Linked DNA regions of Caenorhabditis elegans. The protein of the gene in region 1 purifies or fractionates together with the protein of each later gene. This does not show direct contact. Each region holds a gene or a part of one and is shown in the gene's direction. Other genes may lie near its edges. The genes, in order: tdpt-1 and ets-4.

Region 1 (5,989 bases):
CAAGCTTTAGCTAATTTGGTTGAGGCTAAAGCTACAAACTACAAAATCACCATAGCCTCACTCAAGCTTTAGCTAATTTGGTTGAGGCTAAAGCTACAAACTACAAAATCACCATAGCCTCACTCAAGCTTTGGCTAGTTTGGTTGAGGCTCACACTACAAACTACACTTGTTTCTTAGCCTCAACCAACATTTTTCAGTGTTTTTCCGGATTTTTTTTTGTCTAAAAAGCTCAAAAATGCAGCATTTTCGATGAAAATTCTGCAACATTTTGCATTTTCCCGCTCAAAATTGCGCTTTTCAGCTCAAAAATCGTTTTTTTTCGCTCAAAATCCTCCTTACCTTAATCTGCTCGACTTGCTTCTGCACATCGTGCACAGCCTCACGAGCTCTCGAGTCGACAACGACGGTCACGTCGAGCGTGGCTCCAGACGTGTGAAGAGCCAGCAGGAGGTCGCTATCCTCGGCGAGTGTCACCAAATCGCCTTCTAAAATTGACAAAAATTGAATTAAAATCGCAATTTTCAGTGCAATTCCTACCTTCATCCTTGTACTTCAACACGAAATTCGCGTCGGATGGGAGAGCCAAAAGCCGCTGCACATTGAGCACGAGATCGATGAGTGTCAAGTCGTTGGCGTGGTGAAGTGACGTCTTGCGGACGACGTCGGCGTGACGAGCCTTCAGAATTGTGCTCGTGATGGCTCCGTTTGAATGCACCATCTGGAAAAAACGGGGGTTTTTTAAAGGGAAAATTGGGTTTTGCGGGAGAAAAAGAAAGAAAAAAGCAAAAAAAAACCGGCGAAAATCAACTAGAAATCAAGAATTAAACACAGAATCCGAATTTTGGTGAGGCTCAGGCTACAAACTACGAAATTGGCTCAGCCTCACCCAAGTTTATCCGGAGCTCATATTTTTACGAAAATTTTGGATTTTCATGTGTTTTGACAGGAAAATTCGACTTTTTAGTTGAAATTCGACCTAAACGAGATCAAAGTTTCAAAATTAGAGCGGGAGTAGGCCAAAAATATGGTTTCATCGATTTTTAGGCGATTTTCCTATCGAAAATCTAAATTTTCGGCTCTAAAACCCACTTGAAACGCTATTTTCTAAGATTTTAAAGCAAGAAACCGGCAGAAATCAAGAAATAAAATAGTTCCACGTGTAATATAATAAAGCAATTCCATCGGAATCTCTAGATTTTCGCGGGTTTTCGGTATAAAAATCGGGATATGGCACATAAAATAAGTAAAGATCACGAAAATAGATCAAAATCTTCAAGATAATATTGAAAAAATTGCGAAACTAGGTCTAAAAAAATTCCACACGGATTTTCATCGTTTTTTGCCGGTTTTCTGGGGTTTTTTTATGGTGAAAATATCGATTTTAACCTCTAATACTCACTTTTCTTGCTATTTTTATGGATTTTCTGCAAGAAAACCAAGGAAAAATGGGAAAATAACGGGAAGAAAAACGATCCAAATCCGCGATATAAAATTCCACGTTCGGTAAAAGTGCGCCGCAGTTGCAACACGCGTGCCAGGATTGCAAATAGGGTACGCCCCCCGGCTAGACTCCGCCTTTTCAGTTATTCTTTTCGCGATTTTTTGAATTTCAATAGTTATCGTGTGGATTTTTCGCGTTTTCTGAAAAAATATGATAAAATCCTCTAATTTCAGCTCAAAAATGTCGAATTCTGACGATGAAATACAGGAAATTGAGGCTAAACGACAGAAAAGTAAGGCTTTGCAGCTGGAAATTCAAAATATTTGAATTTTAAATCAAATAAAATATATTTCAGTGTCCCAAGAAGATTCCGAGGTCGAAATCGAGATTCTAGATGAGCCGGAGCAAGGAAAACTGAAAAATTCGTCGAGTAAACCCGAAAAATCAATAAATTAAGGCGAAAATCCGCGATTTTTCAGTGAGCGACGAGCAAAAACTGCATGAATTTGCAATAATCACGGCCACAGATGAGGCTTTTGCGCAGTCGATTTTACAGGATGTAGACTGGGATTTGAAGAAGGCTCTGGACGTTTTTTACGGGAGTGAGGCGTTCGCAGAGGCCAGAAGTGCGGCCGTAATGGGCGCTTCATCGTCTATGGCGAGCTCTGGAGCTGCGGTGATGACGGCAGAGGATTTGAAGGTTAATAGAAGAATATTTGGAGCAAAATCAAGCCAAACCACCTAAAAACATCGATTTTCGAGTTAAAAAACCTCAAAAATGCTGCAATTTCCGTAAAATTTCAGTGATTTTTCACAGAAATCATTGAAAATTTGAAAAAAATCACTTTTTCAACCGGAATTCCGAAAAAAAAAATTGGTTGAGGCTCAGGCTACAAACTACAAAATCGGCCGAGCCTCACCAAAAATTTCCAAAGCGAAATCTGGCGAAAATACTTGAAATTTTCCTCATTTTTTATCAAAAAAACTAAAATTTCCATAAATTTTCATAGATTTCCTTCAAAAATCAGTAGAAAAACTAAAAAAAAATCACGCTTTCAACCGGAATTCCGAAAAAAAATTGGTTGAGGCTAAGACTACAAACTACAAAATCGGTATAGCCTCACCAAACATTTCCGAAGCATAATACTCGAAATTTCCCTCATTTTTCTTCAAAAAAGCTCAAATTTCCATAAAATTTCATGAATTTCCTTCGAAAATCTTTAGAAAAACTGAAAAAAATCACGCTTTTAACCTGAATTCCGAAAAAAAAATTGGTTGAGGCTAAGACTACAAACTACAAACTCGGCTTAGCCTCACCAAAAAAAAATTCACTTTTTTCGCGATTTTTCCAACAAATTTCAAATTTTTTCAGGGATTCGAAGTCAGCGTAATGTCGTGGAACATTGATGGGCTCGACGGGAGAAGCTTGCTCACAAGAATGAAAGCAGTGGCTCATATTGTCAAAAAGTGAGCAAAATCGGCGATTTTTCACGGAATTTTCAAATTTTTAGTTGATTTTGATGCAAAATCAGCAAAAAAATCACTAAAAACCGTCAAAAATCTTCAAAAATCAACCTGAAACGCCAAAAAAAAATTTCAGCGTCAATCCGGACATCCTATTCCTCCAAGAAGTCGTCGACCGTGATTTGGCGCCGATTGATAAGCTTCAATCGCTGTATAAAATCTATTATTCGAACAAAGGCTGCCAATATTATACGGCGATTCTTGTGTCGAAAATGTTCGACGTCGAGAAGCATGACGTCATTCATTTTCAGAATTCTGGAATGTACAGAACTTTGCAGATTTTGGAGGGATCTATTGGCGGTTTGAAGGTTAATTTTTCAGAAAATAGACGAAATTTTAAGAAAAAATCCCGGAAAACCGCTAAAAATGAGTGAAAATGATGGTTGAGGCTACCCAAATTTGTAATTTGTAGCCTGAGCCTCAATCAATTTTTATCGCAATAATCGAATTTTTCAGTTTTTTACTGAAAAAAAAGATTTTTTGAAAAATTCTCGCATTTTAATCCATTTTTTCAAAACAAAATATAAAAATTCCCGTAAAAATCAATCAATTTCCGCAAAAAATACCTTAAAATCGAGCAAAATGTATATTGGTTGAGGCTAACCACATTTGTAGTTTGTAGTGTAGGCCTCAACCAATTTTTCCCCTCAAATGTTTTCCCTCTTGTTTTTCTTGCAAAAAACTTCAAATTTTTACAGAAAATGGGATTTTCCACTGAAAAAATCTAGATTTTCAGGTTTTAAAATCAATTTTCGGTCAAATTTTACGGAAAATCCCTATGTCTTCCTGAAAATCTCTTTTTTGTTGTAAGATTTTCGAGATATAATTGATTTTTTTCAATCAGAATTCTGCAATTTCTAGCTGAAAATCACAGTATGTAGTGTGAGTTCGAAAAAAATTCGTTGAAACTTTGGTGAGGCTAACCAAATGTGTAGTTTGTAGCCTGAGCTTCAATCAATTTTATTTGTAATTTTTTTGAATTTTTCAATGATTTTTGTCGGAAATACATGAAATGTTATGGAAATTTGAGCTTTTTTGAGAAAAAATGTGGGAAATTTCGAGTATTTTCACCAGATTTCGCTCCGGAAATGTTTGGTGAGGCTAAGCCGATTTTGTAGTTTGTAGCCTGAGCCTCAACCAATTTTTTTTTCGGAATTCTGGTTAAAACCCTGATTCTTTCAGTTTTTCTTCTGATTTTTGAGGGAAATCCCTAGAATTTTGAAAATTTGGAGCTTTTTTTGAAGAAAAATGAGGGAAATTTCGAGTATTTTCATCAGATTTCGCTTCGGAAATGTTTGGTGAGGCTAAGCCGAGTTTGTAGTTTGTAACCTGAGCCACAACCACTTTCCCGAAAAAAAACTGAAGAATTTCCTCGTTTTAATTGATTTTTTTGAAAGAAAACTGAACATTTCTATTAAAATCATTCGCTTTTCGGCAAATTTAACAAATTTTTGTAGTTTGTAGCCTGAGCCTCAACCAATTTTCTCGTTTTTTGCAGGTATTCCTACTTAACACCCATCTCGAATCAACACGTGAGCACCGCCCGCAACGTTGTGCTCAATTCGGCTTCTGCATGGACAAAGTCCGTGAAATCATCGCTCAAAACCCGGGCGCCCTCGTCTTTTTCGGCGGCGATTTGAACTTACGAGACGAGGAGGTCAGCCGTGTGCCTGACGGTGTTAAGGATGCCTGGGAGGCTGCCGGCAGTGATAATAAGACAAAATTCACGTGGGACACCTTCAAAAATGACAATAAACAGGGATTCCATGGCGCTAAGATGAGGTAAAAGCGAAGAGACAAATAAAAAAGAAATAAAAAATATTTTGCCACACCGGGGGCTCGAACCCCGGTCGTGTGATTGGTAGACGGCGAAAAGCGCACTGAGCCATTCGATCATTTTTTAAAAAATAAACAAAAATCGATTTTTTTCAATTTTTTAAAAAATCTAAAAAGCTTCAAATTTTCAGATTCGACCGCCTATACTGGTCTGGACCACTGGACAAAGTCAAATTCACACTTGAAGGCCGCCAACGCATCCGTTCCTGTTTGTGCTTCCCATCTGATCATTGGGCTATCAATGCCACGTTTTTTGCCTGAAATAAGCCTTAAATAAGCCTTAAATCATCATTTTTTACCCATTTTCACTTGTTTTTCGACCGGTTTTCACTATTTTTACCCAGGAATTACCTCCCAGTTGTCACCGGGTTTTAATCTTTTTTTTTCATCTAAGCTCCCTTTTTTTTGAAAACTCGTTGTTTTTATTGATCTTCGATTTTCGATACTGATTGTAAATAAATCCACTTTTTTTTTTCTTTTAAAACTATAGAAAATCGCTCATTTTTTGGAAAAAAAAATTGGCGCCTAAAAAAATTAGAAAATTGAAATTTTGGGATAAAAAAATATTTTATTTTTTAAATTTCGAGCTTTAAAATAACAAATTTCATCTCAAAACCACTACAAATAGAAAATAAAAATTTTTGCCACATTGCGGACTCGAACCCCGGTCTTGTGATTGGTAGCCGGCGAAAATCCCACTGCGCCATTCGGACACTTTTTTTTTCGAAAAGCTTAAAACTCGATTTTTCTGATTTATAAGCCTCTAGATGATTGTTATTATCTTAAACTATAGGAAAAATCGTTTTTAGAAGAAAATAACTAGAAAATTGATAATTTCGACTCAAAACCCAACTTTCAAAAACTTTTTGTTCTAAATTTCTAGGTTTTGAGGTTTTAAATTGCTAAAAATCACATCAAATTGGCAAAAAATTGAAAATATTCGCCACGCCGCGGACTCGAACCCCGGTCTCTTGATTGGTAGCCGGCGGAAATCCCACTGCGCCATTCGGACAATTTTTTTAAAATTGCTCAGAAAATTTTGTTATGTTAGGCCTCTAGGGGTGTTGTTTAGCCACAGAAAAAATAAATATATCGGTTTGGAAATTTTTAGAAGCAAAAAAAACTAGAAAATTGATAAATTCGACTTTTTAAAAACTTTTCCTTCTAAATTTCTAGATTTTTCCGT
Region 2 (6,069 bases), on another chromosome or scaffold:
TGCGAATTGCCGCTGCCTCATTTTTGACGAAAAGCACAAAACACCAAGTCAAATAATTCTCGCGACAGCAGGGTATTTTTGTCATTGTGGAGATACAACGCATGTGAAAAAAAAACAATAATTCTCACAATGATTTTAAGTTTTCATTTCCCTTTTGTTTCTTGATAGGCAGCTCACAAAAAATTGCTGAGTGCGCTTTTTTATCAGCAGTTTAGTTCGCTGCTTCAAATTTCACTTTTTTTAAATGTTTTCTTTTTTCCAGCGATAAACACGGGTTACATGATTTAGTGATTTATGATGCAAATCGTAATCAATCACGAGAATTTTAGACTTATCAATGGCTTAAACTGTGGCACTGAAATGCAAAAGTTGAGCATATCAGAATATTATCAAATACGTAATTTTTTTGCAAGTTTATAAGGCGACAAACAAAATCAGACAGTGCGTCATAATTTCTTTGCAACATCAGCCAGCTAAATGTGTTTTGACTCCAGGGAACGTTAATGGACAATGAAATCAAAAAAAAAATAGGAGCAAAAATCGACCCACGCATCATCACAATTCCAGAGAGAATTGTGTGCACTTTCATACCGATTGATTCTTAGGATTTTCATTCGTCAAGATAGCTTGTTAGTTATTAAAACTTATTACCTTAGAGTCCACTACTTAGTATAGACTTGAAACACATTTCAAAACATTTCAACCGTGTCATTATTTTTCAATTTATAGATTCACCCATGTTTCTGGTCCGCCACGTTGTAGCTTGTTTATTCAATGACGTGCATTCCCAATTTCTAGCAATAAACCTGTTTCCAATTTTCATGACATCCTAACTCTTTATAATGAAAAAAATTGTGCACAATGCACATTCTTTTTTCTTCTTTACCTGTACTCCTTATGTAGTATGAATAAGAAAAGGTTTGTTCATTTGCATTGAATTATGGGGGGATGGCGCGGCGTAGTTTGCACCATTGAAAGAGGTCCCATCGTGTCTGACACGACCAACCTGACTCATCAATTTTAGAACCCTTCCCCCCCCCCCCCCCCACCCCCACACTTTTGTTCAAGCTCAGTACATTTTATTTATTATTTTATTATATTCGATCGGCTCAGTGATTGATCTTTTTTTAGTTTTTTAGTCGATGTCTTGCGAATATGTATTTGATATCGTCTTTTCAACCACAAATTTTTTCAAACTCTTCTCACGTTTTATTTAATGACGTTTCAGTATTTTGTCAGCAATTAGATCAGTTTTCAATTCAATATTGAATTGGTGTGCAACATGATTCACTGATAAAAATGGGCTTTTGCCCCCTAATTGACGCAATCAATGCTAACTCTCCAACAAACATATTTCGTGTAATAGATCATCGAGTTTTCAATTCAGTTTTCCATTGGCGCCATCAATTTCATTTTGTTACTTATCAGCTTATTTCTGGAAAAGCTTGGTTTCATGTGACACTGAGCGAGGCAATGATTAGGAGTGTCACACTAGTCAACCTCACGCGCGCCAGAAATCGCTTGACGCTCTGCTGATAACTTTTCCGAGTCGAAGCAAAAAAAGGGGTTGGGAATAGCGAAAATTAGCGATAAAATAAAATTTGACTGATTAACAGTGCCACTTTATTCGTTACTACTCTAGTGCACAAACAGGTCGACACTACTCTTCGGTCTCGACTTAACCTACCATCTTCAGTACTAACTTTTATTACTATCTCACTTGTACTGTTCAATATGACTGCTGCTTATTGTACGTATACCCTCTCTCATCATAGTGTTTATTTGAAAGATAAATCTTCTAATTTCCAGGCGAGACCCAATTTCATGGTTTGAACCAATTCGCGTTCCCGTTCAACAACTTGGAATACAAGTACGGAAGTTGTAAGTCTGACGGTTGGAATTATAATATTTCCAATAGTATTTTGTCACTCTAGATTCTTCATCAATGAACGGTACTGGCTCAGTCGGTCACAGATGGAATTCTCTGAGCCCGGAGCCACATTCCGGAACGGAGTCAACCGCAAGCACTCCTTTTGTTAAAAGCGAGTTCCCATTTGATGATGATCTATTCGGAATCGACCAGGTAAGTTTTTGTCTTCTTCTTTTTTGAGACCATGTGGGTGTGGTTGCGTTAATTATTTTATGCCTGCTCTGAAAACTGGTTATGATTACCAAAATTGAAGTTTGAAATAAGAACGTTTTTGGGAAAATGAGAGTAACAAACACACCTTACTCATTTTTATCAATCAGTTGAATCATCAATGTTTTTTTAAACGCAAGTTAGCTTCAATAATTTTTTGCTATTTTGAAATTTAGTTTACTTTATTTGTTCTCATATTCATTTTCTTTCACAGTAAGACACGTGCGTGCTATTTACGTCATAGATGCGATAATTGATAAGACCCGATTGATGGAGAAAATAGAGAAATAATTTTTTGAGTGACTTTTTTTGCATTTTAATCACGTTGGAAACAATCACAATGTACAACTATTTTAGGTAAACAACGTCAAACCACATCCGATGGATATGCCATGCAATCTTCCAATCCAACCCATCGAGTATAACCGTCGATTCTCAAAGGTAGTTTTACTGATTATCACACTGACCCCTCTGTATTATTATAATTTGCAGGACGCCGATCACAGCACGTTTGTGAAGAATGAGATTGAAGGTTGGTACTTTAGATGGATTAGATACATACAAACACCATTAACGACTGTTTTGAATGGTGTCAATCATAATCTCGGGTTCTTTTAACGCCTTCTTCTCCCTTTCGGACTTTCACTATCCCTTCATCGAAAAACATCTCATTTCGTTTGGCGGGAGATACTATTGAGAAAACACGTTTTCCTTCGATTAGGGTAGTTAGGCACAGGTCAGCTTTTTCTCTGGCTGACGGCACGCCTGGATTGACCAGTGAAAGTTTTCCAAGCGGCTACCGAATTAGTTGTGGGTCGGGGTCATGTTTTTTTAAGCTGCTTTGGCTAACCACAATAGAAAACAAAGTTGTGACCCATTACAAAGTAAAAAAGAAAAGGGCTTAGATATTAGGAAGATATGGAAATGTGTCAGGGTTAGAAAAGTGCGGGTGATACATGGATATGCATCAATGCTTGTTGTTTGAATGTTTACCACGAAAAAGTTCCAGAAAACATTCTCAATTTCAATGTCAATCCGGAGATTGCGCAAGACAACGGTCTTGACACCCAGCAAATTGACATCTACAGGGACCTGATTCTCCGTCATCTGATTCAAGACATCAGTACAACTTGTGCCAAATTGGGACTTCCAAATGGTACATTACTTATCCACAATACCTCATTTATATTTTTGGTCTCTAGATTTCTACCTGTGGTCATCCGAGCATGGAGCACGATGGATCAACGAGATGTGCATGCAATTCAATCTTCAGCCGCCTAGAAACTGTTCAATCACTGGTATTGATTTGCTCGGCATGAGTCAAAAAGATTTCGAAATGATTTTGCCGGCGGGAGGCGACACGTTGCATGCCCAACTCCAAGTGTGGAAGACCGGTACGTCAGATTACGTGAAAGGTGATGCGATTAGCATGACTATAAATCACGCCCTTTTTCTGATTGTCATCATGACGGTTATCAGTGACATGCTCACACGAAAACGAGACACCAATCCAATTCAATTTCAGCATTTGAAAACTATCATCCACCCGTGACCGTTCAGAGCTCCGGAATGACCGCTGCCGAAAATAACATGCAGTCAAAAACTAATTGGGTATGTAAATGTTGATTATGTCATTCCTCAGAATTTTCGGCGCGCAGTCTTTTTGTACCCCTATTTGCTCAATGCGTTTTTTTCATAAAGCCTTCTCGTATTTTTAGCTAGCCAGCACCAACAATCAAACAAACAACATGGCAGCTGCTGAGAACCCGAATCATCCATTTTTCAATGGAAACGGTTGGTTTCGAACCGGAAGCGTTTGATGTGAATAAGTAAATTGTATTTATAGGAGGGTATCCAAACATGTCGATGAGCAGCTTCTTTCAACAGGGAACTGTTTTGCCATCGCCAAGCAACAGCGATACCAGCAGCAATGGGAGCAGTCAAGACAGTATGACACGGGCTTATTAGTACTGTAACTAATTCAGAGTTTTTTAGTGAATGACGATGATATTGATCTTCACATGAACAATTCGAACTGTGGTTTCTCAAACTTCTTTCACAACCAGGGTTACATGAACTCCCCTATTGACGCAATGTGCAACGGAAGCGAGGGAGATGACGATGAGCGTGCCTACACTCGTCATCAAGGAACTGTTCATCTGTGGCAGTTTATTCGTGAGCTTTTGGATCAACCAAAACAGTACAGTGCATGTGTTCGATGGGTGGATAGAGATGAGGGAACTTTTAAAATCGAGTCTTCCCTCCTGCTGGCTAGATATTGGGGACAACGAAAAAACCGTTCACAGATGAATTATGACAAGTTGTCCAGAAGTCTTCGACAGTACTATAAGAAAGGTAAAAAGAATAGGAGGAAGTGTAAAACAAAAACGTTACAAATCAATATTCCAGGAATCATCCAAAAGCCGGAAAAGAAGCAGCGTTTGGTGTACAAATTCCTGCCTCCTTATAACTTGTAGTCATCTGGCAGAAAGACAACGACGTGTTGCTATCTGTGTATGTGTCAATACTCTGTTTACATTTTTCAACTTGTCCTGTCGGTCCAGTGTGGTCCCATTTCCCGATATCTGTGATTCAAGATATACTTCCATGTACTGTTCGTTGTAGAACATATTCCTATTGTGTCCCATACTTCTTTTTAATACCCGAGTCAATCATTCAAGGTTTTATTCAACTTCTTTATTTTCTTTTTTTTTCTCATTCTTTTTCAATTGTTGGGAACAATCAAAAAGTATTACAAATGTTATTACCATTTAGAGTGTGTAGTTCAGATGTCTGAATATTGTTTCACTCGATTTATTTATTGTAATGCAATATTTACCGGTTTGAAACCGTGCAATATGTTGTTCTCTATTTATTCTCGTTCTCATGTCAGAACTCTTCCTCTCTCCCAAATACTTTACCAAATAACGGCTCATATATCCACCAGTGACAGAAAAATAAGCGTTTTACTGAACTGTTCCCGATTGTATTTATACCAATATGATTATGTTAATTATAACAATTATAATATTGTATCAAAAAAATGTTTTAATTTTACATTCCATTTATACTCCAGCCTCCTTCCCCTGTTTACTAGCCTAGTTATCCCCCAAAGAAATTGTATTACAACAATGTGTAGTCCCAGTGTTTTTTTATATCATTGTGCAATTATTTATTCAGATTGTATTATATATTAATGAACCAGATAAATATTTTTTCAAAATATAAAACTTGGCTTTTAGCAAAACTAAAGATAAACATGAAAATGAAGGAAAGCTTTGAAAAGATGAATTATGAAACACAACGAATTTCGAATTCAACATTTAATTTCTCAATCAAAGTAGATCATCCTAGATATCCCATTTGATTGAACGACTCTGTATCCGATTGTGCAAGTCCAAAGGTCTCATAATCTGTGAAGAATTGCTGAAACAGAGAACGAAGGGTCATTACGTCAATACTTTTTTTGCTGAGCTACCTGTCCATTTCCATTATCATTGAGTGACATTTGTCCTCCGGCAGTAAAATAGTGTGGCTGATGGAGAAACGCTGAAAAGAGCAAAGATAAGCGGTGACCACGGATGGCTTGTTTGCGGTTACATGGGAATCGCAATGCAAAACACAAAAATCATCAACTGAAATTGATTGATACTTGCGGAAACTATAAGACACATATGAATGTAAATTTGAAATTTTCACGTAGAAAAACCTGAAAATAATTACATTTATCAAAAAAAAATGCCAACACATCAAATATATCGACATTTTAAAATAACCTTCTCGATGTGAAAGTTTTTTTGAAATCACCAATTAGATTTTAAAACGTCATCTCACAAAACGATAAAAATAATAAATATGGTTTTTTTTTCTAAAATTGATATATGATGAATTTTTAGTATTCAGTAAAAGGAAGATTTCTAGAATATATA

What was found.
Region 2: the proteins of tdpt-1 (region 1) and ets-4 purify together in Caenorhabditis elegans (affinity purification with western blotting, with the first as the bait; one study listed by BioGRID). This does not show direct contact.

What each region holds. Positions count from the first base shown.
Region 1 is NC_003279.8:14,096,778-14,102,766, reverse strand, and holds tdpt-1 (5'-tyrosyl-DNA phosphodiesterase), read left to right. Parts: upstream 1-1,676; 5' UTR 1,677-1,683; coding exon 1,684-1,735; intron 1,736-1,798; coding exon 1,799-1,873; intron 1,874-1,922; coding exon 1,923-2,143; intron 2,144-2,815; coding exon 2,816-2,910; intron 2,911-3,043; coding exon 3,044-3,275; intron 3,276-4,465; coding exon 4,466-4,749; intron 4,750-4,934; coding exon 4,935-5,064; 3' UTR 5,065-5,275; downstream 5,276-5,989. Other genes in the region: Protein tfg-1, read right to left, coding at 342-487, 540-720.
Region 2 is NC_003284.9:6,517,298-6,523,366, forward strand, and holds ets-4 (Transcription factor ets-4), read left to right. Parts: upstream 1-1,638; 5' UTR 1,639-1,734; coding exon 1,735-1,750; intron 1,751-1,809; coding exon 1,810-1,881; intron 1,882-1,934; coding exon 1,935-2,083; intron 2,084-2,497; coding exon 2,498-2,581; intron 2,582-2,632; coding exon 2,633-2,672; intron 2,673-2,785; exon of another isoform or gene 2,786-2,994; intron 2,995-3,149; coding exon 3,150-3,296; intron 3,297-3,342; coding exon 3,343-3,534; intron 3,535-3,665; coding exon 3,666-3,751; intron 3,752-3,858; coding exon 3,859-3,934; intron 3,935-3,986; coding exon 3,987-4,088; intron 4,089-4,135; coding exon 4,136-4,495; intron 4,496-4,549; coding exon 4,550-4,617; 3' UTR 4,618-5,359; downstream 5,360-6,069. Other genes in the region: Homeobox protein ceh-60, read right to left, coding at 5,486-5,566, 5,619-5,689. UniProt on the Caenorhabditis elegans protein: Transcription factor which binds to 5'-GGAA/T-3' DNA consensus sequences. Both positively and negatively regulates the expression of target genes. Plays a role in the regulation of adult lifespan, which may in part be through modulation of daf-16 activity.